Astyanax mexicanus: one gene and its partner. The protein of the gene in region 1 interacts with the protein of each later gene in a biochemical or structural test. Links are inferred from orthologs where the notes say so. Each region holds a gene or a part of one and is shown on either strand. Other genes may lie near its edges. The genes, in order: itga2b and rnf181.

Region 1 (16,514 bases):
TTATTTTATTTTACAGATATTAAGTTATTTGGGCCATGGTTAATGTAAAAGGACGGCTTAAATTTATACAATTCAGTAAAATTGAATTTGATCATTTGTATGATGACTGAGTATAAAAGTTACAATGTTTTGATATGCAGTAAATTGCAAAATGGGTACAATGTTCACAAATAAAATAAAAGGCAGACTGTTTTAAACAGTTGCACATCTGTAAAAGCCTGTTGTTTAATTTGCTTCGTTAAACCAAACCTGCTCTTTACTTAAACATATTTTAGTCCCATTTAATAATAAGTGTCTGTAATAACTGTGTAGTTACACATTAACAATCCATATTATAACAGTGTTACTACTGGTAATGTACACAATGTTACAGATGTATTACAGTTGTAAAGGATATCTAACTGCTCATGCAATGTGCAAAAAAAACTAGTCAAAATATGTATATATTATGTATATATATATTATTATTTATATATATTATATATAATATATACTATAAGTGAAATAAGTAAGCATTTCTTCTCAAAATCTCAAAAAGTGAAGTAAATCAAGCAGAAATTTTCAGTTCAAATGATTAAAATGAAATTAAATTTCTGTTTTTTTAAGCAAAACTACTTAAAAAATATTTATTATTCATTAAATAAACAAAATAATCTTGCACTTACACTGTACAGTAAGACACAAATTTCTAACAAAGAAAAAATAAGATTTATTGCTTTAAAATTTGAATTAAAATTGAATCTTTTTTTTTTTTTTTGCTTTTTTCAGCATTTATTTTGACTAGTGTTTAATAGTGCGTAAAAATCTTAATAAAATGTGTGTGAATTTTCATGTGCAATAGTGCATGGTATAAATCGAGTGTATAAATGTATATGAATCGTGTCACGATTCTCTAAATCCTCGATTCGATTTTATTTTTTACGATTTTAGGGTCACGATTCGATTCGATTCTCGATTTTCCTTTCATCAAATTTACAATATCTTATTTCAAAAGGTGGGCTTGATACAAGTGATGCAAAGTGATACAAGTGATCTATAATACACCACATTAGGCACTAATGGTCAAATTTAAATAATTTAATCAAGATATATATGTAATGCCATCTAGTGGTTTTTTTTTTGGTAGCAGCAGTGTGCGCTATTAAAACAGCAATGTGCAACATAACAAAATAAATAATAAAAAATACAGGAACAGTCATGTACAAAATAATAGAACAATTAGAGCCTTAAGAAACTGAACTCTATCCTACTATAACAGTTAAACATGAAAAATAAGACTTTAAGACTTTTTCGGTCGCTGAGAATGACAAGTTTTTTTCTTTAATAAAGATCTATTATTAACTTTATCTGAGAGAAAGATGCTCCTTAAGGTACCAAAACTATTAACATATTTGAGGCTAGACAAAACAACTGATATTTTAATATTTTCAAGTGTTTCTTTAAGGAGATGAGAATGTACACATTCTCTGGAGAAAGGGCTGCTCTTTGAGCTACAGTGTGCTGCGCCATTTGCGGGATAGATTGTCAATCCTCTTTTGGACAAAATATTTTGCTTTGTTTAACTGACTTTTATGCACATTTGTAATTAGATAAGCTGTAGAAGTATAATTAATATGTAACAATGCAAATTTTACCAGTAGTTACACTGTTATTACATGTATTTGTAACTACACAGTTATCAGAGAAACTTAAGACACTTAGAGTACACTTACAAATAAGATCAATATTGCTCTTTTTTAAAAAAAAAACTTGTTTTAAAATCTCACACTTCTCCACATTGTGATGCTCTTTAGCCATTTGTGTTTGTAGTTCTGCAGTTGTGTTAAATGAATCCAAGGTTAAGCTCTCTCTCTCAGACAGTGTGAGGGAAATCCAGCAGCGCACCTGTTCAGAACTGGAGATCACGGTAAGTTAATGTGATTTACTGATGAAAACATTCGCGGCTCTGGGTCTCAGTTTTACGCCCCTGTGTTTCAGACTGTGTGTTATTGTAGGCTGGCTGTGTCCGGCTCTTGTGACCGGAGGAATTTTGGCTTTCCTCTCAGTCGTTTCACACGTGAACACATTTCACACTATTCCGTATACATTTCTCCAGCCTGACCTCAATCAGTCAGGGATGATTTCAGGTCATTCAGAGTTCAGGTTCAGTAAACACATCACCGCATGGCAGGAAGGAAAATATACATATCGTATAAATGACCATTTTACATCTTTACAGGTCATTTCAGGCTTAGACAGATGTGTACCTGATTAAAAAAAAAGTCTGTCAGACATTTCCAGACTTTTTTATTTTAGGATGTTTTCACACCTGAAAGTCCGGACCGTGGTCCGAACCAAGGTTCATATGTTTATTACATTGTATATATTTGGTCCGCTTATTTTTTTTTCACACTTTGTGTGATACTCCTACATCCTTTCATCATCACTTACGTATCGACAGGGCTGGACTGGGACAAAAAATTGGCCCTGGCATTTTTACTTTAGACCGGCCCCTCATAATTTGCGGAACACAACCCACTTGTAATTTATGTATGTGGGGTTACAGAGAAGCGTAATGTACATCAGCATATTAAATATAAGAAGTTTATTGTCTATTATTAACTCCGCCATTTTTGTCTGCTCTGATTTTTTATCTTTTTTTTATTGAAATCATCTCTAATATGTATTTTTTAAATTTCTCTAATACAACAGTTCAATTCTATTCTTCAGGTTAAAGGTGCTTCCTCCTTTAAACAGCTATAACATGAATTCGTATCAGGCTACAAACAGGGCATTCTGTATAGCCTTACCATTATCAACTTCATAATAAAAAATGAACTTTATTATAATCATGTTTTTTTTGGGGGGATATAATGTTGTAACAGGGCTCGAGCTCTTTTATTAAATGCTTGAAACCAGGGTTCACTCCTACTCTCATCATGAGAGGATCTTTTGATCTAGGTAGAACAAACAAACAATGAGCCTGATTGTGGCGCTTTATTAAAAACAAAGACAACAGCATTAATTTAACTACAAATATTTTTTCATTATTATTGGATGCATTTAAGTGTTCTTTTTAAGAAATATCAGATTTAAATTGATAAAATTAAATTATATTAGTGGTGTTAATCACTTACATCAGAGAGAGAGCGAGAGAGAAAGAGAGTGAGCGAGAAAAAGAGAGAGACAGTCAGAGAGAGCTAGCGAGAGACAGGGAAAAAAAGGGAGAGAGAGAGAGAGCGCGTGATTATGCGAGCGAGGGATAGACCCCTTCTAACTTGTGGGCCGGTCTCTTAGAAAAAAAGGAAGAAAAAAAATCAGCATTGGCCCCTGAGGAATGTCAGCCCACCGGGCATTTGCCCAGTACACCAGATTACCAGTCCAGCCCTACGTATCGATGTGTTTTTCATAACTTGACGCTGATTGGTTTTAGAAGGACGTGCGTCTGACGTTGGCGTGTTGATAATTCAGCAGGTGGTTCATTCGGTGGAAAGACCAGGATAAAGATAAAATGAATGAACAGATTCATTTCATCTCCATAGTAGTGCTGCTGCTATTGTGTTTTTATACCAGCAGCAGCAGCAACTTCAGACACAGTACTGTAGGTTAGTTCAAATTCACCAAACGAACGTGCTCGTCCTGAAGCAGCTGTATCCACGCCCCATTTTTCCTGCTTGTCCGGTTATTTTGAGAGGGTACTGACTGCAGCCTGCAGGAAGGCGGAGTTGGACGTCCAGTGCATCCAGTCCCGCCCACTTTGTTAGCATCATGTCTTAGCTCCGCCTCTGAATGGAAGTAAACAATGTACAGGGCAGTTAGCGGACTTTAAATATAATGCGCCGCGTCGTCCGGCTTAAATACTGTGTATACACTACAAGCTTGTGAGACAAAGTAGGTGGGACTGGACGCGCTGGACGTCCAACTCCGCCTGCAGGCTGCAGTCAGTAGTAGTTGGTAGTTATTTTTCTTCTTCTGCTGCTGTTGTTGAGGAATGCTGCTCAGCTTCCTGTAATTGGTCCGAAAGTTCAAACCATCCAGAAAAGTGCTTTCACACTGCAGGAGAACCGGACCATGGTTCAGAAGATCCGGACCGTGGTTCGCGGCCCCTTTCACACCTGTTCGGACCAAACTGAAAAGTCCAAAAGTCCGGACCAAACGAGGCAGGTGTGAAAGTACCCTTAAACATTTAACACACTTGATTTTAGTACTTGCTGCTGTCAAATCAAAGTCTTTACCCTTATACATCAATATATGCTGATGACAGAACTTGAAAAAAACTTCAAAGCAATGGAAAGTTGTTGTTTTTTTCTTTTTTTGTTTCTTGAACATTAATAAAAAAAATATTCTTTAATGGAACACATGCTTGATTTTTTTTTGTGAGGGTTTAGTGAACAGATGATTACATTAGATTAGATAAAATATAAAAGCTTAATTATATATAACAAATCAAACTAGGCCAAATATACAGAACAATACAGCTTTCCAACTAACATGTAAACACCAAATTTACCTCAAAGCTGTAAAGTAAATGGGATTCAAACTTTTTGATGATTTCCTGTCTCCTGATAAGCAGGAAGTTGTGAGGCTTTGTACATTTCTGTGTTTAAAGGACAGAAACTGTTGGAAAGAACAGACACTGTGGGAGCTGTGTTTTTTTTTTATTTTCTCTGAAGCTGTTGAATTTATTAAACTGTAGAAATAATACAGTTTCTGTACCACCAACTTACAGTATTAGTTTTTTTTAGTAAGCAGTGATGGGAATAACGGCTTTGGGGGTTACGGGGGCGAGTAACACAAAAATAACACAACAGTTACTTTTACTGGTAGCTAGTTACTTTTATAGTGGAGTAACTCACTTAGTAACTCAGTTACTTTTTTGGAGAAGCAACTAGTAACTATAACTAATTACTTTTTCAAAGTAACATGCCCAACACTGCTAATAAGTAAGGTTTCTCTGTTGTGTTATTGTTGTGTTTAGTGTGGGAACTGTATAAACATCTACACTATAAAGGATGATTCAGTATCGTTATACAGTGGGACCCCCTATAATTATATATATATATATATATATATATATATATATATATATATATATATATATATATATATACACTGAAAATGTAATAGATTGAATTTACTACACTGCACTGAATTGATATGGGTGCATTACTTCCATATGAAAATTAAAATACTACATCTTTTAAGTGTATTATGTTTTTGGCAGCCGCTGGATTGATCTAACATTATACATTATTAAAACACATTCGATGCATATATTTGAATCATTTTTAAGATAGCATTTAATATGTAACACTGCATTTCATATTTTTTTTCTCTCTCTTTTGTGTTTATTAATATACAGCTCTGGAAAAAAAAATAAGATTCCACTTAAAAATGATGAGTTACTTTGATTTTACCAAATTGAAAACCTCTGGAATATAATCAAGAGGAAGATGGATGATCACAAGCCATCAAACCAAACTGAACTGCTTTCTGAGTTGAGTTTTTGCACCAGGAGTGCAGGCATGAAGTTATCCAAAAGCAGTGTGTAAGACTGGTGGAGGAGAACATGCAAAGATGCATGAAAACTGTGATTAAAATCCAGGGTTATTCCACCAAATATGGATTTCTGAACTCCTAAAACTTCATAAATATGAACTTGTTTTCTTTGCATTATTTGAGATATTTTGTGTTATTTCAGTCATTTCTCTTTTTCTGCAAATAAATGCTCTAGATGACAATATTTTTATTTGGAATTTAGAAGAAATGTTGTCTGTAGTTTATAAAATAAAACAACAATGTTCATTTTACTCAAACATAAACCTATAAATAGCACAATCAGATAAACTGATTTAGAAACTGAAGTCGTCTCTTAATTTTTTCCAGAGCTGTATATGCACATTTTATATTTTACATACAGCAGCACACTGTCATTGTCTATTAATAAAGCTATCACTCAGCGCTTTAAAAGAAGACTCTGTCTGCTTTTATCTTGAGGAAGCACGTTTTAGACGCGATGACACGCGCAGAAGACAGTCTATTTTCCTGTATGAACCTCACACACTGATCATTCGTCTCATCAGCAGGAAGCTGCTCTCCAACACCAGGCTGCAGATATCGTACAGATTGATGATTGTGACACTATGAACACTCACACACACCCAGTGATGAGCAGAAACAGCTTCTGAGCGCTGCTGGAGAAGATGGAGGGAGTGAAAGACACAGGCCTGCTCATCTTCACTCTGTGTTTAGCTGTGTTTAGTATCGTCCCGCATCAGAGCAGCAGTTTTAACCTGGATCTGGAGAACTACAGTGAACACAGCGGACCAGAGGGAAGCTACTTCGGCTTCTCTGTGGACTTCTTTGAAGCAAACAATAAAAAGTAAGTGGCTTTAGAATCCGTAGCAGGTAGATTAATATTGACTCAGCAGTTAATAATGTATATACTGGTAGGCCAGGAAACTAAGCACCATTTACGGGCATCAGAAGCCAGAGTCTGAGAGAGCACAATTGGCCTTGCTTTCTCTGGGGTGGCTTGATGATGCTCTTACATTACAATACAATGAACATTTCTACATCATATACTTAATTACATATTCACTGTAAAAGAAAAATTAAGTCACTCCAACTTAAAATCATTAAGCAACTAATTTCCTGCCCTTCTTTAAGTTAGTACAACTTTATGGCTCATAACTAAAAAATGTGTTGAATTCTGTTGCTAAAACAGATATGTCAACAGAAAAACACTACTAACTGAACATTTTTAATAAGAAATATTGAAAAAAAAATATTCATTGGCTCTATTTCAAATCAGTCAAGTCATCATTTTGATTTGACTCAGTTGAGTTGTAAATATAGAACATTTTAAGTTTATTCAACTTATTCAACAAGTTTTGTTCACACAACAGTAGTTTAATTAGCTCAACAGTTTTTTTGTCATGCAATGTGGGCTCAAATAAATTATTTTATTTAATATAGATCAGTACTCTCAGCATGTTTAATAGAGCTGCCAATCCTGACAGTATAATACTGCCGCAGCATAAGAGTGAACTCTTCGGCTCAAAGCCAGCAGACCGTGATCACTAGGAACACAGAATAAAGGTAACTTGCTCTTACAGCCTACAACACTGAGACCTGCTGGCAATCAACACATAATAATGCACGCCTAGAATAAGGTAGCTTTGGGCAACAGACAACACAAAGATGGTAAGTAAGGGAGAAGCCACACCCAATATGCAAATATATGGTGCCAGAAGCCTATAGGAAAGCTGTATAAACCAACACTGATGAAAGAGCCTTGGCACATGTAGTATAGTAAAAATTGGTTGAAATCACATTTTTTTTAAATTAAGTTTTCAGGTTGAAGCTCTCTGAACCTGTTTTATTGAGTTGTTCTGGCCGGTAAGTTCACTCAATAATATTTAATCTCCTGACTAAAACACAAAATCACTTTTTAGAGTGCATATATATATATATATATATATATATATATATATATATATATATATATATATATATATATATACACATATATATATATACTATATATATATGTGTATATATATATATATATATATATATATATATATACCTAAAAGCAAAAAGTAAAGTATGATAAACAATACATTTAATAATTTTGATTTCTTACTGAAACACCAGACAGATAGGGGTGACGCTTGCCGAATAAAAGGTAAAGACTGGTTTATTTACAGAGCCGTAAACAGAATAACACAGCCAGATAACAGATCGAACAGAACTCACAGTATTAACAGAAGACGTAGTACAGGAAACAGTCCAAGATCCGAAGCCAGAGAGACAGTCCGATAATACAACAAATCCGATAAGGGCAAAGACAAAAGGCAAAATCCGTAATACAGAAAAAAGAGTCATAACAAAAGGGCAGTCAGAAAAGGGTTTGGAAAAAACGCTCAGTACGCAACATGAGTCGACAATACCTCCCAAAGAACATATGCTAACAGAACCCTATATATACAAAACATGGAATTACTATGAACCGGAACAACTTAGAACACAGGAGAGTCTGAACTTGGGAGCGTAACGCGATTGGGTGAAGGTGAGCGGCTGACGGTGACGTCATCGCCAGTGGGTATATGGGAAATGGAGTTCAGGAGTGTGAAAGGAGAGCCTAGAGACGTGACACTTACAATACTTATACATTTAAAATAGTCCAGGTATAATATTTATTTTGTCTAATGTCCATTGTCCTTTGTCTTTTAAGTTCACATATAATTGTCTTAAAAACAATATCATCCATTATCTGTACTTGATTTATTATAATTTTACATCTAGTAGTCCAAATTTTAATAATTAACAATGCAAACAATTAACCAATTCTTGTACATTTTATTTTTTGTAGTTTTCCCTCAAAATCCCATATAGTACAATTTTAACATTTAAATCAAAAGGGAAAACAATATTTTTCACCTTGTCCCAGACCTTCACAGTTCTAGGGCATTCAATCAATAAATGTTCCACAGTCGCGTCTTCTTGACAGTTCAACAAGGGGCAAAACTCCATTTTACTACACACCTTACAGCAAGCCTTCTTACATATATCAGCCAACTCAACTAAAACAGTTACAGGTAATCTAAAGGAAAATGATAGGAACTCCTAATGCTTCAGCACACCAAGAGCAAGGTCCATAAAGACATAGATAAGAAAGAAGATCTTGTGGAAGAACTTGACAGGCCTGCACTGAGTCCTGACCTAAACCGAAAAAAAAAAACTTTTGTTATGAATTAGAGCGGAGAATTCATCAGTGTCTGAACTCACAAATCCACTTCTAAAAAACCCCATGTTATAGCTGCAAAGGGTGAGCCAACATCATTTTAACCCTATGGATTAGAAATGGCATGTCACTCAAAAATACATGCATGCAATGGCAGATGAGTGTATACTTCTGGAAATATAGGATCTGCAGAAATTGTTTATTGGCTCCACTGCAGACGAGCATGAAGATGGAGCAACATTCAACTTTTTTTGGCATTTAAGATTTTTTTATATCATAAGTGTCTTGTATAAACCTTGTGTCTCCAATTTAAATATGTAAGATTTTATTCCAAGTCATTATAGAGCATTTCTATTGGTTCATTCATCATGACATTTTGATACAATGTAAATAACAAACTGTCAAAATTGCACTGTATCAAAAATATAAAAAAACTGAGATGCACAGCAAAATTGACAGTGTCAAATTAACCCTATAAGAGTTTAATTTAACACTGTCCTAGATAACATATGGTCCCACTCACTATAGTGTTAAAATAACTCTACCACAAGAGTTAATTCAACACCATATGGAATCATATATTAACCCTATGTAACTCTCATCAGTGCTAATATTTTAGAGTTAATTCAGAGTTAAAACAATGTAGGGTTGTAACACAGGGTAAAACAACAATTGTTGATTTTTTTGTATTTTTTGACTTTTCCCCCTAAAAACTATATATCAGAGTATCTATAAAACATTATAAAATGTGAGCTATACCACAGAATAAATTACTATTTTATACTATCTAAGCTTTATTTAGAACAAGATATACTATTAAAAACTGCCAAAAAAGAAGTGTTTCTCCTATAACTCAAAATAACTCTTGGATGGAGACCCTTATCCACCATCCAACCTCACGCCACCAGGTGGGTGAATAAAGCTCCATCAGGAGAACCACCACAACTAAGCTAAACCACACACACACACACACAGCAGAATCAAGAGGCGAAGCCTGTTACAGTTGAATATTTTAACTCTGAATAATAACAACAACACTGTGGATTGTTTATCACTGAGTGTTGTTAGAAAAAACTCCCAGAGAGTTAAAACATGTTTACACTGTGATTTTAACGAGTACAAGGTTTTTGCATGTGTGTATTATTGTCTCGGTACAATATAGTGAACTGGCCTGTAGAGGAAGGTCAATTCAGAGGCATAATTTAAAGTCTTGTGAAGCGTATCTAACGTTGTGAAATTGTGGTTCTCAGAAGGGTCATCGTTGCGTAACACACTGTCATTTCTGCTCTGCAGTGTGAGTGTTGTGGTGGGCGCACCCAGAGATAACGTAGGAGCTTCCCCGGGAGGATCTGTCTTCATCTGTCCGTGGACGTCAACACAAGGTCCCTGTCAAAGACTGGCCTTTGACCAAACAGGTCAGCCTGGGGTTAGCACTGGAAAAGCTGTTACTTTAAATGTGTGTCATTACCTAATTACATGACATCTTGTGAAACTTGAACTTGTTTATGATTAATTATTTCATGAAATGTATTTAAAGTCCTCACTGCTTTAAACAGAGGAAAGATAAATACTTAAATACTGTAAATGCTGGACAGAACTTAATCTAATACTCTAATGCAGTGAGTGAGTAAAGTGTAGGGGTATATATAGTGAGGTAAACAGGTGAAGTCAATACTCAAGTCAAGTCAATACATGTGATTGTGGTCTAAAATTTTTCATTTTATGTCATCAGACGGAGTGAATGAGTGATGTGTGTGTGTAGTGCATTCTGGACAATGGAGTCTGGGAGATCACTGGTATCACAGGTACAGGAGGAAAGGGAGCATCTTCGGCCCCTGGTGTGACAACTGACTAAACCTAAACTAAAACTTTAACCACAGTAAAATCATGAAGAATCAGTTCTTTATTCATTTACGTTTCGTTCATTAATTTCTTTTTCATAAGATACAAAATATTAATGAATTGATGAATGAATAAAAAAAAAAACAAACACAGAGTAGGTCATATTTTTAAACTAAAAACCTATATTGACCTATATGGCAATTTCTATGTGAGATCATTCATTATTTTACATTGACATACACTGAAAGCTCAGAAGGTTAGCAATTTGGATTACTGTTTGGAAGACAGTAATGTTTCTATAGCCCTATCTGGATGGGATTAGTTACTTAGGGGAACATCTGTAAAAAAAATATCACATTTTAACTTAAGTGATAAAACACTTGCATTCAGACTGCAATTGAAAAAACAGGAGTACCAGTGAGTTTTTGGCTTTTTTGGTCACATAACATTGCATTGTCTCGTGATATCAGGACAATGTAGCACATGGAGGACGATGGTGATGTCTAAGTGCTCTAAAAGACGCTGGAGCAGAGAAGAGACACTGACTCTTATTTCACTTTGGGTTGAAGCCAAATTTTAGCAACAAACACAGTGTGGGAGTGTGGGAGTCCGTATGGAAACGCGTTCAGTAGCTCCTCCATTTCCACTCGCTGTTGTGTTTTTACGTGGATCTCCATGGAAACACATGCCCAAAGTGTCATTACGGTGCGTGGCAGTGGACAAATAGCTATTTTAATAAACGCAAGGAGATGAAACTCAGAGATGTGCATCTAAAATAGTAGATAAAGTAGATAATTCAGCCTGTAAATTTCTCAATGGACGTCTGAAAAAAAACACGTACATGGTTGTTCCGGACAGGAATAAAATCACAGAGGACCCCCATAAAAGAGAAAATTACGCCATGCAGGACCCCCTAAAAAAAGAAATCTTAAGATAGGGCTTAAGAAAGGAAAGATACATTAGATTAGATTTATATCCTGGTTCATCTTCTGTCTATAGGTGATGAAAACTTCACATTTGGAGACATGCTCCTCATGAGCCATAAATCTGACCAGTGGCTGGGGGCCACAGTGAGGGCCTACAAGAGTTCCATCTTGGTAAGTAACAACGTGTTTTGTGAAGTATTGATGCGATTGGAAGCCAAATGTGATTTAGTCTGTTAATAAGAGAAACAATACAGGTTTGGGGATTGGATGCAAGAAACTTATTTTTACTTTTTGAGACATATGAAAAAAAGCTAATATGCACCATATGATACACAGGACATATGCACAGGACCAGTCAAAAGTTTGGAGTGCTGTTAACTTGCAGTTTCTGAGGCTTGTAACTCTGATGAATGTATCCTGTGCAATAGAGTGCAATAGATTAGGGTTGTGGGGGAGGTGGAATAAATGTAGAGTTTTTTTTAATTATCTATATATATTTTCTTCTTATTTATTCATATATTTATTGTTATTTCTTTTAAGATCTTTTGTGAGCCTTTTGATATCTTCTGAGATATTTTCTCTTTTTTTGTAGCTTCTTTTAAGATTTCTTTTCTTTCTATTCTCTTTTCTCTTTTACCCACTGTTACTGGTCACCCCTCAGCGATTGTAATAATTTTTTTACCAATATTATAAAGAGCATCTAAAGATTCTGTGGATATAATCGAGACACACAAACTTAAAAAAAATAAAAAAACTGGTAACAACTGTTACTTTTTGTTACTGTTACTTAAAAAAATAAGTTAATAAAACTGTAATAAAAGTGTGCTATATATCTGTATGAACAAACCTATATTTAACACATAATATAGCCTATATTTAAGCAATAATACACAAGAGGGAGTGCTATAAAGTGTAATATTGGAACTGCAATATTACACGTTATAGCATGAACCTGGAGTGCATTATTACGATTATACCACAGTTCCATTATCGCTGTTTATTTAAAGATTTTGAGTTAATGAGGACGAGAAAATACGATTGGTTTGGTTATAAACACTCTGCAAGTTAAAATAGTTCCATGGCTGCTCCGTGTTCAGCTGCGCTGTTTGGTTTGCAAGACATAGAGAACTTTACAGTGCATTACATAACCATACAGTGCATTACTGGCTGATAATGTCACTCATATAACGCGTCTCAGCCAATCATATTACAGGGTCGAAACTAACTGTTGTATAATGAACTGTAGCAGCTTGACAAACCCAGGTCTCAAACCCACAACCTTGTGATCAACACCCTGATGCTCCAACCAATCAGAAACCAGCCCTGTTCTGTATATTATGTTGACTCTGCTGTTTCCCCTTATGCAGGCCTGTGCTCCCCTGTTCCACTGGAACGTGGTTCAGGGCAAAGACGAGGCCATGAACACACCAGTGGGGAACTGCCAGCTACTGGACACACTGACTGGAAATTTAGCCAACTACGCCCCCTGTAGGGGAACTGCAGTGGAGGAAAGCTACACTAGAGCCAGGAACTGTAAGTTCTGACTGCGGTCTGTGGAAAATGATGCTGTATATTTGAAATTATGGCTTCTGTAAATGTATAATAATTACACAATGTGTGGTTGGTACTTCATTATGAATATGATCCCTTTTAACCCTTTGAACTCTAGGCTGTTTTGGTGTGTTTTTTTTCTCAGTTTTTGTCAGTTCCTCTTTCAGGTCTTATAACACAGTAATTACATCAGACAGACACATGCCCTGATCTCTTTTACTCCAGAAGACATACGGTTGCTCAAAAATATAATCATTTAAAATGTAAAAGGAAGCAGAGTTGTTATATTTTCCTGGAACTGATCATGATTTGGTCAAAATTTTACTTATTTTTGAATGTATAGACTTTAAATATATTCACACCTAAGATATCTTTTTAAAAATGTTTAGACTAGAGTGTTTATGAGTTAAAAAAGCATAAGAATATTGATGATTTGAGTTCAATACAAGAATTATTAATTATTACTTTAACAAAATACATGGAGAAACAGCATCAGACAGATTTATTTTTCTTGATAATCAATAATCACACCTCTAGGATACATGTAGATACTAAAAACCTGATACTCAGAGCAGCCTATACCTTTCAGTATTTTAATCAGCACACACAAAGAAAAATATACAATATACAAAAATGTAAACTTGTTAGTCTAAATTAATAAAAATGTTTAGTGCAAAATAACTACTTAGTAAAAATGTGCAAGTAAGATAAAATATATATATATATATATATATATATAAAGTAGTGCGCACAACATACCTAGCTTTAGTTTGAGTAAAGCAGGTAGTTTCACACCTAGTTTTTCTGTGGACACTTTTGAGTCTGATATTTACTGATATTATTTGGTTTGAATCATCATATAAATATGTTTGAAGCACTAAAGGTAAATAATATTGGTTGGGGAAGGAGATCTTATCACTTTTTTTAGGTGTTTTTCTCAATGGGTTTCTTGTAGATTTAGCTTTACCACACTGGGATGTGATCACTATTTTTAGAAAGAGTAAGCTCCGCCCTTTCTAATCATATATGGATTATGTTGATGTGTGAAGGGATTCCTGAGTAATTAAGCTGAGAACACAAGGTGCGATTTTGGATGGAAAATCTGTCTGTAGGGTTCTAAGGGTTAAACATTTGGACAGTTCAGTTACATTTGTTAAATAAATCTGTGAGGAACCGACCCCTTGCTGCCAGAAACTTAGAGACGCTCTGTGTTAAAATGTATGTTTTTCTCTCTTTTTTTCAGATCAGGACAGACGCTACTGTGAAGCAGGCTTCAGCTCTGATGTCACTAAGGTATAAAACCCAAAGCTCACTGCTTTCTCATCGCTTTCTCAATTTCTGAAGAATTGATCCATTGAGATCAAATGGGATTCATTCCATGAACCCTTCAAATATTTCATATTACTTAAAGGCCCTGCTCTTGTCAGAAGTTCCTTTAAAAGGGGTGAAAATGTGTTAAAATCATCACTCTTTTCTCTGATGCTTCTCGCTGTAGGACGGTACTGTGGTGCTCGGGGCTCCAGGAGGCTTTTTCTTCCAAGGTATGTTTCAAAAAGTCAGAGAGGCAGGTGTTCTGCAAAAGAAATACTTATTGAAATAAAGCTAATTGATTAAATTATTTTAAATGATTTGAAGCTTATTTAATCTCCTGAGATGTGGACTTTAGCTTGGTGTGCATTTTTTATTTCTATAACCTATTCGGGAGGGCCAAACAAATATAAAAACTTAATTTTGTCTTTGTATGCACTGTAAGCCCGGATAAGTTGAATTTACTTAAAAAAGTTAAGTAATCGGTAATGAAAACTTAAGTTAGCATAACTTAGAACATCAAGTTATTACAACTAAAGGGGAAAATGATTTAAGTTAGATTTTTTTTTATTTTTGTTATACTGTAAGACCAGATAAGTTGAGTTTACTTTTTTTAAGTTTGCTCAATTTTTTTAAGTAATGATAAATTAAAACATTAAGTTATTACAACTAAAGGGGGAAGTTGATTTATTTCTAAGGTAGCCCAGAGGGAATCACTGCACACTGATGGTGAGTGTTAGTCAGAAACTGTTGGACACACCCAGTATGCAAATAGATTGTGACGGAAGCCAATGGAAAAGAAGCTGTTAATGACAACAGACTAAACTCAGTTATTATAAGTTGGTTCAACTCAAAGATCTCAGTGTGAATAGTACAGTATATGTGCCCACTCAAAATAGTTGAGCATTGTTTAGAAATATCCAATTTTATGTAAAACAGACTTAAATCATTTGAGTTTAAACAACGAACGGGCTATATATAATAGGCTATATACACGCTAGGAGGGCGAGGACTGGTAACGAGGGGGCGGGGTTACAAACAAGACACAAGGTGAAAACACTAATGGATAGGGCAGGGATAGGGCGGGGCTAGGGCGGAGACAGGACCATGTGCTTGCAGGTAGCAAAACAAAACAAGGAAACAGCAACAAAAACAAGCAGGACAGAAACTGAAAAATACAAGACACGAAAGGCTTAATGGACAATTAAATAAAATGCTGAAGACCAATTTTTTTGGTTTCTTTTTATCTGATTTATAAATAATTAATCAAAATCTTTTTTTTTAACTTATTTTTTAATGTATAGACTTTAAATATATTCACACCTAAGATATCTTTTCAAAAATAGTTAGACTAGAGTGTTTATGAGTTGAAAGCATAAGAATATTGATAATTTGAGTTCATTACATGACTTAAAATACATGGAGAAACATCAGGTGGAGTTATTTTTCTTGATAATCAATAATCACACCTCAAGGATACATGTAGATTATTAAAAACCTGACACTCAGAGCAGCCTATGCCTTTCAGTATTTTAATCAGGACACACAAAGAAAACTACAATATATACAAAAATGTAAACTTTTTAGTCTAAATAAATGAAAATGTTTAGTGCAAAATAACTACTTAGTAAAAATTACAATTGCTACTTAGTTTATTCCACCACAAAAACAACAGTATTCAGTGCTTTATACTTTTAAACTATCTGCATGATCCACTGGTTGATGTATTCAGCTGCTTTGACCCGAGTCATCTATTGATCCTCTTCTCTGAAAAGTAAAAAATAAAGATTTGAAAGAAATGAAAAAGCCTCCGGAGCTTCAGACTGAAGCTCAGAGTGAACTCTGTGGCCTGATCTTTGAAGTGTGATAAACACTCGCTGAATGTTTGATGTGGGCTGAACTCTGGGGATGTTTCAGGTCAGATCATCACTGCACCTCTCCAAAAAATCATGGCCAGTGGCAAAACCTTCAGTCCGATCCACTATCTGGTGGGAGAGGCTAAGTCACCGGAGAGATACCACCAGTACGACGTTTATCTGGGTAAGACACTGGATTGAAACTTTGGATTTTGTGTAATATTTCTCTAATCTTACAATAAAACTTATATAAAAGGTTTTTCTTTTGTCTGTTTGCTTAAATTACACTGTTTTATAATCATA
Region 2 (16,514 bases), on another chromosome or scaffold:
AAATGACAGGATAAGGAGAAGTTTGCTCAACTGACGTTACTATCCTAGTCCTGTACAGCTCATACTGTACCTTTCAGCTGGAAAACAGCCAGTGAAAAGAAAAGAGATAGATAAGAAGCTCATTAAAACAATATCAAGAGTGATAAGTGGTGCTGAACACTTTATTTTATTTAAGTAGTGCGAGAAAAGTGTAAAAATGAACTTAAACCTCTGCTAAAAAAAGAGGAGGAAACAACTTTAAATACATTTGTTTGTTGTGTTAAATGAATAAAAATCTAAAGCAGGACTGCTGTTTTATTTCTTCAAATGATGACATTTCAGCTATTTTTGGAGAAATATGGTTTAGGGTTTAGTGGCTCTTTAAGTCAATGGACCCAACTTGACTTGTGTCAACAGCCAGCTCATGCTGGAAGAGGAGGTGGTGTAATGGTACAATGTCATATTTATAAATAAAATTATACATGTTACATTCAGAATAAAACATGAAATGAGAAAAAAAACAGCCTCTGTTTTGAGTCAGTGTAAAAATATTTTATTCCAGGTCATTTTGGAGCATTTCTGTTGGTCAGTTCTTCTTGGAATGGTCACATAAAATGGACAGGACAGTTAATATGACCAAAAAAACAAACACATTTTATTTATATATTGTAATTATATTGATATAATATTGTTTTTGTAAAGGTTAAAAAAAGAACAAACTCACACTCAACATTTCTGAGATTGTCTTTTTCTTTTTTTCATTTCTCACATAACATAATTCTCATAACATATTTTTTATTAATATTTTTTCTATATTAATTCATCCTGTATCAGCTGAAGAGCTACACTCTGAGAGGCAGCGTTGCTGATGTTAATGAAGCAACAAAATGTTTTCCTCAGAGTTAAACTGCAGCTTTATTTTTTTTACACCATGATAAAAATTCAAATTCTATTAAAAAGCAGAAATAAATAGATAAAGACACAAGATAACATTGGAAAATACACAGTTCTTGTGTTCAAAAAAGGCTCATAATGGAAACTCACAGGATGTGATGGGATTTACAGTCGGTACAGACTTCACAAGTCCTTTAGACAACACTAATCTTAGTGCATTTGCATACAAAATGTAAGTTTTTAAAAATAGCTAATTATTTTCAAGTAGAAGAGAAGTCTCACTTTCCAGAGCACGGTCCAAACTCAACCTCTCAAATCAGAAACACGCAAACCAGCCGTCCAGGCAGCTCATCAGTTCAGCCCTGCATTAAAAATGTGCGTTTTTGTGTGTGGTGTGGATTCAGGGGACAGGGGTCGGGGGGTGTTGGTATGAAGGTCAAGTGTACATAGCTCCGTGAAGATCCTCCAAGCGATGTTCTCTCTGCCTTCTTCTCTCCTGTGTGTGTCCACAGACAAAAACTTTATATTATATAGATGTATTAAACACACAGAGTGATCTATTTTAAGCGTTTATTTATTTTATTGTTGTTGATTATGGCTTACAGCCAATGAAAATCCGAAAAGCAGTGTCTCAGAAAATTTAAATATCATTTAACACCAATTGGTACTTTTGGCAGGGTGGGCAGTGTGCCAAATCCTGCTGGAAAATGAAATCTGCATCTTCATAAAAGTTGTCAGTAGCAGAGGGAAGAAGCATGAAGTGCTGTAAGATTTTGTGGGAAAACCAATAGAATAGCTCTGCACTGACTTTGGACTTGATAATAAAAAACAGTGGATCAACACCAGCAGATTAACATGTCTCTCCAAACCATCACTGACCATCAGTAAATTTTACATTTCATTTGTAAATCAAGGGAGCAGAGTCTGGAGGAAGAGTGCAGAGACACACAGTCCAAACTGCTCGAGGTCTAGTGTGAAGTTTCCACCAATCAGTGATGGTTTGGAGAGTCATGTGCAACATCTGCTGGTGTTGATCCACTGTGTTTTATTATCAAGTCTAAAGTCAGTGCCGTTTTTTTCTATGGTTTTAAAGACACATCTCTGTTTACCTTGTCTTTTTTAAACTCTTCATAGTCAGCGTCGTCAGTGGGCAGTTCAAATCGACAGAGTGGACATGAGTTGGTCTGAAACAAAAATAAAGCATCTTTCTCAGCAAAAGCATTGGATTCTGATCCTAGGACAGTTAGTTTTGTAGTTATAGACTGTGTATGTGTTGAAGGGATATTAAAATATACTAAGTGGTATATTCACCACCTAACAATGCATGTGCACAGAAAACTGTGGGTAAATGAGGGCTCGGAGGGCGTTATGATGCCCTTAGAATTTTTTATATTTGTGCATAAATATGACCTAAAATCAAATTATATTAAAGCATAACAAAAAGTCTGCTCTTTACAACAAATTTTGGAACTGTATTATGGCACAGACAAAAGAGGATTTCTGAGGACCTCAGAAAAGTTGTTCACCAGGCTGGAAAACATTTAAAAATCTAAAGTTTAGACCTTTAGTCTCCACCAATCCACAGTCAGATAGATTGTGTACAAATGGAGGAAATTCCAGACCATTGTTACCCTCTCCAAGAAGTGTTCGATCAACAAAGATCACTCCAAGAGGAGGGTGTTTATTAGTCATCAGAGAATTTTAAAGGAAAATGTCAGGACATGCAGTACATGAAGAAGGTGGGTCATGCAGCAGGACAATGACCCTAAGCACACAAGTCAAGCTACCAAAAATGGTTAAAGTAGAATAAAAGTCGTGTTTTAAAATCCTGACCTTAATCTAACGGAAATGTTGTGGAAGAACCTGAAGAGAACAGTTAATGTGAGGAAATCCACCAACATCCCAGAGTTGAAGCTGTTCTGTATGGAGGAATGGGCTACAATTGCTCCTAGCCAGTGTACAGGACTGATCAACAGTATGTAATATTGGATAATTTTCTCAATTAATAAATTACCAAGTATAATACTTTTGTTTGTCTCAATTGCTGGATTAACTGGATTCTCTTTGTCTACTGTTATGTTGTGGGTTTCATTTATGCAGAAATATAGAAAAATGTAAGGGGTTGACAAACTTTGAAGCATTAGAGTTTAAGAGCTATCCTTCACCTATAAAATAAATAGCAGCTCATTGATTTAGTAGTCTGCTCATCAATAAAGTGCTTAAATATTAAAGTTGTACCTTTTTAAAAGAGAAAATTTCAGCTTGGTCTTTGCCAATATCAGTGTATCGGTATTGTGCAATGACTGAATAGGAAATCTGTGATGCACCTTAATAAAACGCAGTATTGTCCCCACCCAGTGTGAGTATACATGTGTAGACACATCCCCTCACCTTGCCTAGCCAGGGCAGGATGCAGCCGGAGTGAAAGAAATGTTTACAGGGCATCTCACGAACCATCTCCTCCTCCTCAAACTCCAGCAAACACACAGGACACTTCAGCCCTTTATCTGGACAAAAGAAAGTGAGTCAGAGGGACATCAAATCAAAGATGCTTCCACCACAGTTCATCTCACCCTCCCAGAAAGCACTATTAAAGTGGAAGCTGGGAAGAACAGGACAGTTACCTGCTTGCTGTGGAGTGATACGATGTAGAGGCAGGCTCTGCACCACCGTTTTGGATGCAGGTGGAGGGAGACGCTGATCCCAGTCAGAAACATCCATCCATCCTGAGTCTATATCCAAGCCCTGCATCAGTGACCTTAAGAAAAAAAACTGAGCTGTTAATTTATGCTGTAAATATAAACACACAACAGTGGATCCTCTGCATAATACAACAGCATTATAGGAGGTCTGGTGTTAAACAGACTGTAAGAGACTATGGCTGCACGATATATATCGTTTAAGAATCGCTATGTGCGCATGCGCTATAGTCACATCACAGGAGGCGGAGGGGGGAGCAGGAGTAAACACAAGGTAACTGCATGGCCTCTATCCACATGGTTGGGTACGTGCTTGTAAACGTGAGCAGGTGTTGAAAGCTGTGTACCTCAGTCCAGCACAGTTTTGCAGCGCAGATATTTCTAGTTACAGCTGAATTCACGCTGTTAAGCTCTTATTTAGCTTTTAAAAAGTCATTTAAATGCCTAATTAAAGGGTAGATTACTGTTGTTTTGCTGTTTTCCTCGGGTTTTGAGTGCTCAGCGCTGACTCAGCTCTTGATCGGTGTGAGCGGAGCTGGTGATGATGGACCCTGCATTGTTTAATATTGCGATATAATATAAAGGTGGCCTTGATATAAGTGATGTAAAGTGATACAAGTGATCTGTAATACACCACATTAGACACTAATGGTCAAATTTAAATAATTTAATTAAGATATATATGTAATGCCATCTAGTGGCTTTTTTTGGTAGCAGCGGTGTGCACTATTAAAACAGCAATGTGCAACATAAAATAAATAATAATAAAATACAGGAACAGTCATGTACAAAATAATAGAACAATTAGAGCCTTAACAAACTGAACTCTATCCTACTATAACAGTTAAACATGAGAAATAAGATTTGGTCCCTAAAAATGTCAAGTTTTTTTCTTTAATAAAGATATATTATTAACTTTATCTGAGAGAAAGATGCTCCTTAAGGTACCAAAACTATTAACATATTTGAGGCTAGACAAAACAACTGTTATTTTTATATTTTTAAGTTTTTCTTTAAGAAGATGAGAATGTCCACATTCTCTGGAGAAAGAGCTGCTCTTTCAGCAGTCACAATGTCTGCGGTGCGTGCTGCGCCATTTGCGTAGCTTAGAGGGAGGGATCGTCGATCATCTTTTTGACTTCGATGCTCGAGACCATGACATCATTTCGATCGATTTCGATAAAATATCGAAATCGTGACACCCCCTAATTAATACATTATCGGTCCACCTAATAAGAAGGCAGGTGAAAGTATAATAGACGTATTGCATGGACCTATTTTATACAAAGGCCAATTAAAAGAAAGAGAAAGAAAGACAAGTGTCTCTAATAAACCACCCATTAAAGTGTATGATAATAGAAAAGCTGTGGCAGATACCTGGCCAGTTCCAGCAGAGCATTCTGTCTGTACTGCTCCTCGGGATTGGTAGGTTCACAGTCATGTTCTTCAAAGTATGAAGTCATCCCAGAGCTGGAAAATTAACCTAACGACAGAAACATCATTAGAACATTACAGCAGTGTCAGGTTTCTGTAATTCAAGTCAGGGAACCAGTCTGTTCATTAACAGAAAGGAATATTTAATGCTGATGATCTTTCTTCAGACTTAATAGGGTGATTCAATGTTATGGTTTTATGTGTATTAATTGTATTAAACTTTACTGGCATTAAATATTTGTGTATGTTGTGAAAATTTGGAAAAGGTTTAGAAAACATTTTAATTTTAGAAATCTCTCCCTATCTTGCCCACGTATCTCAAACCATCTCTTCCTTCCATTAACTCATGATAAAGGGTTCAACAATTGGGATAAAGCAGACATTAAAACACTACAGGATTTATATGTCGAGGGCACTTTTGTATCTTTTCAGTATTTAGTAGAAAAATGTAGTAGTGTTGGCCAATGCTGGTAATATTCTTATAAAAAAAAGAAATAAAGAAATAAAAAAGATCAGCATCATGATATTTTTTTAATATCTCAGTTAGGGATGTGCGATATCATCTCGTTTGCAATAATAAAATTAAATTATCATTTTGTTGCAATAGTTTATTATTTAAACATATTTTTTAACTTAGTGTTTTAATATATTGGAATATACCGTGAAATATCGTGATATTATTTTAGGGCCATATCGCCCACTCCTAATATATATATATATTTATATAAGTTATAATAACTGATAACTTTTAACCTAAAAGCGAGTGTAGAAGAGCTCAGCCCTACTTTTCAAGTATTCAAACATTTAAATAAAAGCTGATTCAGTGTCACAATTTCAACACAAACCAATGCCTATTAGGCAATTAAATAAAGCTTGTTTAATAAAGGTTGTTTCTCTATTAACATTAAAAGATGTAATGCAACCAAAAAATGTATTACTATTCAATTATACATTAATATTAAATGTATGATTGTATGTATTATTTACATACATTATTATTATTATTATTATTATTATTATTATTATTAGGTGAGAGTGGGGGCAGTTAAGAGACCAGTTTGTAATAGGAAGACAAACTTTTAAGACAGTAAAACTACAACTGTCACTTATCCATCCATTCTTGTATATTAAGCGCTATACATATTGATCGCCTAAGAGTTAGTGTTACTATTTACCCCTATTTAAACCACAGGAACACAATACAAGCTATACATGTAAAATATGTTAAAGGTTAAGTCAACGTTTGCCATCTGTTTAGCCAGCTGGATTACACTAGTACCACCAGTTCACTTCTGCCACAGCTAACTAGGTTTGTTATTTAGCTACTTAGTGCTGGTAAAAGTTTCAGAAACATTTTTACTTAAAAAAAAAAAAAAATACTATTGACTACTATTTAAACGTCCCTTTCTACACTACAAGATACAGTAACGTACACAGTACACTACAGTATACGCTAGAATATAAACAAGATATACATGTCCAATATAAGTAATATTTAATACAAACAATACATATGAAACCATAACGTTGAATCAATCTTAAAACAACCTTAGCTAGGTTAGTTTGGCTAAAGTTTTAGAAGCGTATACAAGTGTTATTACCATTTACTAACATTATTACTATTTAAACGTCCCTTTCTACACTACAGGAACACATGACATGCTATAAGAATAGAATACTAACAAAATGTACATGTTTAATATAGTTATAGTTATATTTAATACAAAAGTAACACCATAACGTTGAATCAATGTCGAAACAACATAAGATAGTCAGTTAAGCTAGTTAGGTTGGCTTTTTAGGTTGGCATTTTACATATGTTCATTATATTTTACACAAATTAACCTTTACTAATTATTATTATTATTATTGTTGTTGTTGTTGTTGTTGTTGTTATTGTTGTTGTTATTATGTTTTTATTATTACGTCCCTTTCTACACTACAGGAACATAGTACATGCTATAAGCATAGAAAACAAACTAGATATACATGTTTAATATAAGTAATATTTAATACAAATAGTACATATAAAACTATAACGTTGAATCAATGTAGAAACAGCCTTAGTTAGTTTAGTTAACTTTAACTATTAGCTAACTTAAGTTAGTTAGGTTGGCTAAAGTGTTAGAAGCATAAGCACGTTGTATTACCATTTACACATGTTTATAATATTTTATAGAAGCTAATTTAACACATTATAAACGTTACTGCTTCAGAAACGTTACATTAACATTAGCTTGCTAAGCTAAGCTAGCTAAAAACAGGCTAAGGTAAACATTAGCTAGTTAGCTTAGCTAGTGAACTAACGTTATTCAGCACTTTGCCGGCTGTGTTAATAATTTCACCAGGCTAGCTAACAGATATCTAATCAGCTGATAGTGCTGTAAATCAAGAGAATAAAAGAATAAAAGCTCTGAATGTATCGTATCGTGTTTAATTTCTAATTCACACCCTAACAATGATATAAACCGACACAGTAATATAACCCTACCCGCCGCTGCCTCCGCCGCTGTCAGAGCTGAAAGCTGAGCTAACCCTGCACTGTCATCATCACGGAACTGAACCAGGAGGGCGCGTCGCAAACGCAGCTTCCTATATACTATCTACCTAGGCTGTAAATTTAGTGCACTATGTAGGGAGGAAGCAACCAATTGAGAGTGACCCGGACAAACTGTCAGCATTGCACTCAGCATTGAGTGTAACAGCAGAGGGAGCAGCTGAGCTACTGTTAACCTAATAAAATGATCTTTTAAAGCTTCTTGTTTTATTAAACTGTATTATTTTATAGTTTCTATTTTATATAAAGTCCCAGTCAAAAGTTTGGACACACCTCTTCTCATTCATCAACTCTGTGTTTCTTTTTTTAATGATTTTTTACATTGTATATTTAATATTGAAGACTATATTAAAGTTATACAGGAGCACATGCTGAATTATTCTGTAAACTTATAAAACTGGTAAACAAATCAGAATATATTTTATACTTTAGATTCTTCTAAATATCACATGTATCTTTAAGGACTCTTGTGCAATTTTGATAGTTTTCTCAGCGTCTTGAAGGAGTTCCTGGAGTTGCTGAACAATAGTTGCTGCTTTTCTTTTCTTCACGCTGTGAAGCTCCAGCTCATCCTAAATAACTTCAAGTTACCATTTCAGTTCATCAGGTTTAGATCAGGAGATTGGGTCATGTGTCGAAGGAGGCATGTGCTGGTTTTTCCCCTTCTGGGGTTGGGGCATCACTAGTGATAGGGGGAGTCCTAATGAATGGGTTGGGTAATTGGCCTTGTCAATTTACTATGTAATTTAATGTAGAAAACAAATTGAGTAAATAAATGTTTTTGTGAACTTTGGTACACAGACACATTACAATATGCAGATCAGTCTATCAATAATACCAACCCCTGCTGACGTCCAACCATCTGCGTCTCACCGCTATCAGAGGCACACTGCTGCTGCTGCAGCTCAGCCAATCAGCTCTCCCTCCTGCCCCGCCCCTAAACCCATACATCACCCAGTGCCCCTCTTAAACTACCCATCCTATTTTGAGCTAATGGTGGAGTCAGCAAAAATCAGGGGGGTTAGTTAGGGTTACCATTTAAAGCAGGGGTCTCAAAGTAGCGGCCCGCGGGCCACATGCGGCCCGCGACGCGGTTTCATACGGCCCCTCACGGGTTAACAAAATAAACATACATCTGGCCCGCAATTCAATTTAATTATTTATGCTTTATTATGTTCGTTTTCATATTTTATCTTAACTTGTATTTTGGTGTGTGTGTGTGGTTTTTGTTTTTTTTTTTGCTTACGCTGCGTTGCCTGCTTTAGTAGTCTTCAGTAGCCTTCAACAGTCTAACCTTGCTGCCGTGGTGTGTCCATTAAACTCCGTAGTTATAAACATCCTGAGGTTAGCAGCGCGCTAACTGAACTGTTTATAATGTAATCCGAGCAGTGACTCCGTGACGCTGCTCTAAACTGCTGCTGTTAGCTGCTTGGGCTGAAAGATGAACTGTAGAGAGCTGTATTATCCGGTTAGTGGGGTTATTTTATTTCATACACAGAAGAACTTAAAAAATTTAAAAACGCTCCAGACTGGCTCAGCTGAGTCCTGTAGCCCGTGGCTGGGCTGCAGCTCTGACTAAGCAAAGACTGCGGGCTTGTGGTGCTGCAGCTGCAGCTCCGACTAGTGGTTGGATGAGGAACTGCTAAATCTGAGGAAATGCTAAATCTGTCACAGCTCACAATTTTTGATTTTATATTTATTAAGCCTTATTTCAGTATCAAACGTTTTGATCAAAGTTAATATAACTTATAAATTAAAAGGATTTATGTTAATAGAGCAACAAGCAATCATTTTTCCATGCAACTGTATATTTGATTGAATAAATAGTATATTGAGAGTTATTTAACATTAAGGAGTAATTACATTCATTTTGTATTACATCTGGTTACATTTTCTTATATTTATAAGTTACATCTGGCCCTCATAGGACAGCCAATATGCCAATGTGGCCCTCGGCAAAAATGAGTTTGAGACCCCTGATTTAAAGAGATAAAGTGTAGCTTTAGTCCACCCTGTCACTGTAAAAAATCACAGCAATTTTAAAAATAATTTTTTAAAAAATCGAATTTTTTATTTGAAACAGAACAAGAACAAGATCACCAACGTGTGATACAAACCAACACATCTGTTTCCATCAAATGGCAATGTTCACAAAAATTGTCCACCCTCTCATGCAGCTTGCCATAACAAGACAGATGCATGTATATCAGGAAATAAAGTGAAAATAAGTAATTATTAATTAAAGCCAGAAAAAAATGTTTTTTGTGTAGTGTATAAATATGATAAATTCTCCATACAATCATTTGGCACTGCAAAAGCTGTTCTAACAGCATCTTAAACCAAGGGCGTAGGAGCGGACTTGATATTGGGGGGGACACATTTGCCAATATGAACCCAAGCCCACTCTAAAAGTAAATTATTATTATAAGGTGATTTAACAACCTAAACATGTTACTCCACGTTACATTTACTGTTGTTAGAAAAAATTATGCATGCAATGTCTGAATAATATACATACGACAAAAATAATCAGTTATCACCTAATATTTAAAATAATATAACAGATTTGTTTATTATTATTATTATTATTATTATTATTATTATTATTATGTCATGTCAATTCTGTCGTATATTTACATTTTCTCCTGCGCTTTTTTTTTTTTTTACTGAGAGCTCTTCTTAAGATGGTGTCCTTTTTTGTAAAAGAATGTAACTTTAAGTTTCATAGAGATTTTTATAAACGTCAGGACATGTGGTCTTACTGTGAACTACAAATGAATAGAAGTCACGTTACAGCAGTGTTTCTCAACCCTGTTCTTACATATTCTACTGCATATTAACACTGTTCTGCATATTTTAGAGCTTCCTCTGCTTTAAAGGCATTTAATAAAGTTAGTGGTGGTATGATGTGTCTAATACACTGCTGGATATACATAATGATTTATTTAGGCTCCATAGGGGGCTAAATTTGCACACTGTCTTGTTATTTATTATTCTTTGTCTGTATTGTGTTGTATTGTCTGTCTGCACTTTTGTACTGTTGCACTATTGTTCTGTCTACACTGTGTTTATGTGCACCATGGTCCCTGGAGGAACGTTGTTTCGTTTCACTGTGTACTCTGTATATAGCTGAAATGACAATAAAAACCACTTTGACTTTGACTTTGACTTTAAAGGATTTTAACAGGTAAACTCAGTAAATTACTGTTTATTAGCTGATCAGCTGGATCAGGTGGAAAATTTTTGGGGCAGTGATCAGGGTTAAGAAACTGCTTTAAACTACAAACACAAAGTACTGTACTAAATTCTGGCTATCCACTACATCTGGCTTCTAGATAACTAGTTAAATGAATATTCGTTCATTATAGCTCACAGTAAGTCCTAAATTAATTGAAAATGAAACAGTGATTAGCTGATCAGGTACAGGGCAAGTTGAACATTACATATATAGTTTTTTTTTTTCTTTAACCTTGACTCCCAATCTAGCTCATTCCAAAGTTAAGCTAACTCACTCACACAGCTGCAGTTTATTAATCACAGTGGGTTTAAACTGTGTGCTGATTCAGAGACGTGTATTTTTAACCAGCTAGCAGAAACATATCATCACAGTTGACGTGGTTAACCTATCGTTACCTTTCTTTTAGAAAAATCTCCGTATATCCATATCTGTTTTAAAATCAGCTGAAGCTGCTGCGTCCCGACCCCGCTGCTAAATCTCACAGCGAGGGGGAGGGGCTTCCAAACAGCAAACTGCCTCTCCTTCGCGCGGCGCAAAACCAGCAAGCTGATTGGCTGTTTCTACTGAGAGGCGGGACTTAATACCTGAACCGGCTTCGTGATTGGTCCGGTCTGACTTCTCATTAATAGTACACCTGATCTGAGCGAAAAGATGTCATTTTTGGGGGGGACAAATCCACCTGTTTCTAATATTGGGTGGGACATGTCCCACCCATCCCCCCCGGTTCCTACGCCTATGTCTTAAACTGATGGGCAGCTGCTGATAAATGCTGTGATTCTGTGCTGAAGCCCAGAGCACTATAACAGTTCTTTAAGAGAACTGAAAGCATTTAATGATCCATTGCTGAAAACAACCCAAAACATTTCCCCCACATTCTTCTGGCAGTAGCCTACATCTGAGTAATTCCCTGATGAAGATGATAGAAGCTAATAAAAGTGTGTGTGTTATTATGTGTGTTTAATCTGCACAATAGGAGAGCCTTAAAACTGTCTGGAAGTGCTGGAAGTGAACTTTCCTCTCTCAGTCTGTGAATCACAAAGTTAAAAACATTACAAACTCAATACATCAGCCCAAACCCTGCCCAAGAGAGTGTAACGGGTCATCGGGTTTAAGAACTTCCCATTGAGAGAATTATAAGCTAGAATAAGTATTTTATAGGCCTAATCAAAACATAATAATGACATTATCTACATCCATTATTTTATTTTGTAGTTGTATAATAATTAGAAGTAGTTCTGCATCTGTTTGTCTGTATACTTAAGCAATAATACACGAGAGGGAGTGCTATAACGTGTAATATTGGCACTGTTGTCGTGGGCGTGCAGTCGTAGGCATGAGGCCTCAGGCAAAGTACTGTAGATCAGCACAGCAGTGCCAATATTACACGTTATAGCACAAACCTTCAGTGTATTATTGAAAGACCTCGCTGTTTATTAAAAGATTTTGAGTTAAAGAGGACGAGAAAATGCGATCTGTTTGGTTATTAACACTCTGTGAAAATTTTAAAATAGTTCCATTGCTGCTCTGTTTGTAGCTGCAATGTTTGGTTTGTAAGCGCTGCATCGTTGCTAGGTTACCTGTATGCGGCAAAGTAATACAAGGAGAACTTCGGTTACAGTGCATTGCTGGCTGATAATAGCACTCATAGAATGCCTCTCAGCCAATCACACTGCAGGGTCGGAACTAACTGTGCTATACTTTATTATTCTTCGTTCACTGTGTTATTTAATACTCAAAATCCCACAGGAGAGAAACCCACCACAGATCAGCTATTATTATTATTATTATTATTTGGGTGGTGTATGGTTATTCTCAGCACTGCAGTGATTAACATGGTGGTGGTGTATGAGGTGTTAGTGTGTGTTGAGCTGGTGGTAGAGTGAGTGCATCAGATACAGCAGTGCTGCTGGAGTTTTTAAACACTGTGTTTAATCATCACTCACTGTCCTCCACTCTATTACACACTCCAACCTACAGCTCGGTAATACTGCATCAAAAAGAGTTCAAAAAGAGGCGGAGTCTGACTTCACATGTGTCAGAGGAGGCATGTGCTAGTCTTCAACCTCCTGGTTTGTTGGGGCATCACTAGTGATAGGGGGAGTCCTAATAAATGGGTTGGGTAATTGGCCTTGTCAATTGGGGAAATACATAAAAAAATATTATTAACACCATTACATATGGCCTCCAGATAAATATACATTAATAAATTCACGGTGAAGGCAAGAAACAGTCCACAAACAATATATTTTATTCAGATTCACCCATATTTTACAATCATTAACATTCCATATAAAGCTCACAGCCCATGGTGGTGGTAGCTTCACTGCTGGGTTTGGACGGTAAATAAAATGCATATAATTATGTTGTAGTTGTGGAGAACAGGGTTGTATTCACCATATCATTAAACTTCTCTACAATAAACCAAAATTTCACACAGAACCCTCCACTCTGATCCACTGTGTACATCTCAACCACAGAATTATCAAAAAAAAAAAAAAAAAAAACAGAAAAATCTGAGAAATTTACTAAATGTGTAAAAGTGTAGATATTTACTTTCATTAGATATTTACCCAGGGTTCCCTAGAACCGTAAAATGTGCTTTGCAAAATGTTGTGCTTTGACTCATCAAATAAATTGTGAATCCACTTATTAACTTACTCTAAAGTAACATTTACTTTTTTTTGCTAACAGTGTTAACTTTTCTATCTCACATCAGCTAGACGTTGACTATTCTGACTACTGCTCTAGCTGATGTTAGCTGGATGTTAACTACTGTAAAAAAAATGTGACCTGGATTACGACTCATTTAGCTGATTTCAGCTAGATGTTCTGGTGAATGTTATCTAGATAGTAACGACTCTGGCTAACGTTAACTAGATGTTTGATAAACTTTTTTTTAGCTGATTTTTAACTAAATGGTAAACTTCTGTTATTAAGATGTTACCTTTGCTATCTGGATTTTAACTACTCCAGGATTAACAACTGTGGCTAACGTTAGCTAAACGTTAGACACTAACAGCTTCTCTAGCTGCTGTTTTCCTAATAATACCTTCTCTGGCTGACATAAGAAAGACATTGACTTGTGTAGCTGATGTTAGCTGCATTTTAACTACTCCAGGGTTTTACTACTAGATGTTAACAGCTGTGGCTAATGTTAGCTAGACATTACGCAGATATTGATTAGATGTTCTCTAGCTGGATGTTATGCTTACTGGTCTAGTTGGATGGTATCTTCTCTAGCTGCTGTTACCTAGATGTTCCAGCTGATGTTAACTAGAGGTTAATTACTCTAGCTGATGTTATCTAGATGTTAACAACCCTTGCTAATGTTAGCTAGATGTTAAACCCTCTGACTGGTGTTAGACAGACGTTTACTTCTCTAGCTGATGTAAGCTGGATGTTAAACGTATCTAGATGTTCCAGCTGGTTAGCTAGATGTTAACAACTCTGGCTAATGATAGCTAGATGTTAACCACTCTAGCAGATGTTGGCTAGATGTTAACAACTCTGGCTAATGTTAGCTAGATGTTAAACTTTCAGGCTGATGCCTGTTGTCTTCAACAGCAACTTCTTTTGCTGATGTAAGCTGGACGTTAAACTTTTCTAGCTGCTGTAAGCTAGATGCTAACAACTCTGGCTAATGTAAGCTAGATGTTTACTCCTATGGCTGTTGTTAGATGGATGTTAATTTCTCTAGCTGATGTAAGATGGATGTTAAACTTATCTAGAGGCTGCTATCTAGACGTTCCAGCTGATATTAGATAGATGTTAGCAACTCTGGCTAATATTAGCTGAATGTTAGGTACTCTATCTGATGTTAGCCGGATTGTATCTCCTCTGACAGATGCTACCTGGATACAAACTAGCCAAGCAGTTCTTGGCTTGGTCTGTAATACTCAAGCTAATATAAACTAGATGTTATCTCATGTGGCTGGTGTTAAATAGATGTTAACTTCTCCGTCTAATGTAAGCTGGATGTTAAGACTTATCTAGCTGCTGTTTACCACACTTTATATTATTTTCCAGCCGATGTTGGCTAGATGTTAGCAACTCTGGCTAATGTTAGCTAAATGATAGGGGCTCTATCGGATGTTAGCCGGATGGTATCTCCTCTGGCTGATGCTACATGGATACCAACTACCCAAGCAGTTGTTGGCTTGGTGTTAGGTACTAAAGTTGATGTTAGCTAGATGTTAAAGACTTTAGCTGACGTCATCTTGGTGGCAAAATCTCTGGCTGAGATTTTCTGCATCCAGAAGCAGTAAAATACCTTTTTCCCCCTTAAAACTGAAATTTGGCTTCTTCCACAGAGGAGAAAAGAAACAAGGCCTACCTTTAAAAGCTCATGAGCTCGTCCAAAAATGATAAAAACCTACACTGATTTAATCTTCAGACTCAAAAAAAGCTGGATAATTACTGTGGCTTTTTCTAAAGGGTTTTCTCTGCAGGCTTATAAAAGGGAAATATATATTTTAAATATATATTTAAAGGCACTTGTTGAAAACTTGTTTCCATGTCATAAATATGGCATAAGATTACGGAAGACACAAACATTTGGAAAACATGGGGTCTACAAGACCGATGCTTTTAGCATCAGCAACTCGATTAAACCACCCAAATCATCCCTCATCGTGAATTTCACACTCTTAACTCTTCAGTCTCACAAACATCTACCTTTTCCAGAGCTTGAACAGCAGAAATGGCTTACGGTTCCTATCAGTCCAGTCCTGCAGATGGAGACGAGGTCGTAGTCGATGTGTAAACACTTTTATTTCGCTGTATTTTTTTATTTTTTTTAAGGAACGGAGGCAAAAGCAGCAGGGGGCGTCAACTAAGTACCATTTCATTGCATCACCAAGCTCAAATATCTGAACACGCAAAAAAAAAATACACTGGACAAGTTCCCAACCCCAGCCTCCACCTCCTGACATCCTGAACTTTCACAGCTGCATTAACAAACAGTTCAAGCCCTGGAGATTCGCGACCAGACGTCAGCCCCTCGGAGGCTCCTCGTCTCCAGTGGCGGTTAATGTGGAGCCACTACCGCTTTCAGGGCTTAAGCTGATAGCCACGACGATGATGAGGATCACGATGACAGCTGCAGAGATACCGGCTGCAATCAGCTTCCACTTCATGTTCTCCCACCTCTTCTTCTGCTTCACCTGCACTGCTGTCTTGCAGAAGACTTTACTCTGAAAACAGACAGAAACAAATCCATTAAATCTCTACTGGGCCTGCTTTAGTCTGATTTAGGCCCAGTCCCATTTCACCACTTATTCCTACCCCTTGGTTTTGCATATCCACCTGTCTTCCATCTTCACCATGTAGCCCTACCCCTTGGTTTTGCATATCAACCTGTCTCCAAAGGGTGATGTCGGTCAGAACAAGGTGTCTGTGAGCTGATGTATGGGGTCCAAGTTGCTGCGCTTTTCCCCCCGCTGTGATGCTACTTTAGAAGACATACGATAAATCCCTAATGTTAACTAGTTAATCAGCAGCAGTTAGGTTGCTGAACTTTAATGCTCCACTGATATAACTATATCTGTATCTGGGTTTCGCAGTTGTTCCAAGGGTAAAGGTTACATTGAAAAACAAGCAGTGAGGGTACAACAGAAAAAAGGGATTACTGTACAGTAAATTTAATTTAACCACTAAATTCAATTTAAATTTAGTGTTTTTTTATTATTTTAAAACATTCTCATTGAGCATTAAT

What was found.
Region 2: the proteins of itga2b (region 1) and rnf181 form a complex in vitro, tested with the Homo sapiens proteins (2 studies listed by BioGRID). The link is inferred for Astyanax mexicanus from reciprocal best matches to the Homo sapiens genes ITGA2B and RNF181.

Annotation. Positions count from the first base shown.
Region 1 is NC_064426.1:36,359,717-36,376,230, reverse strand, and holds the start of itga2b (integrin alpha-IIb), read left to right. Parts: upstream 1-6,055; 5' UTR 6,056-6,182; coding exon 6,183-6,361; intron 6,362-10,021; coding exon 10,022-10,143; intron 10,144-11,569; coding exon 11,570-11,667; intron 11,668-12,863; coding exon 12,864-13,029; intron 13,030-14,290; coding exon 14,291-14,340; intron 14,341-14,542; coding exon 14,543-14,588; intron 14,589-16,272; coding exon 16,273-16,395; intron 16,396-16,514. UniProt on the Homo sapiens protein: Integrin alpha-IIb/beta-3 is a receptor for fibronectin, fibrinogen, plasminogen, prothrombin, thrombospondin and vitronectin. It recognizes the sequence R-G-D in a wide array of ligands.
Region 2 is NC_064429.1:6,768,163-6,784,676, reverse strand, and holds rnf181 (E3 ubiquitin-protein ligase RNF181), read right to left. Parts: upstream 7,597-16,514; 5' UTR 7,498-7,596; intron 5,056-7,497; 5' UTR 5,036-5,055; coding exon 4,950-5,035; intron 3,632-4,949; coding exon 3,498-3,631; intron 3,381-3,497; coding exon 3,265-3,380; intron 2,058-3,264; coding exon 1,983-2,057; intron 1,370-1,982; coding exon 1,310-1,369; 3' UTR 517-1,309; downstream 1-516. Other genes in the region: vamp5 (vesicle-associated membrane protein 5), read right to left, coding at 15,793-15,993.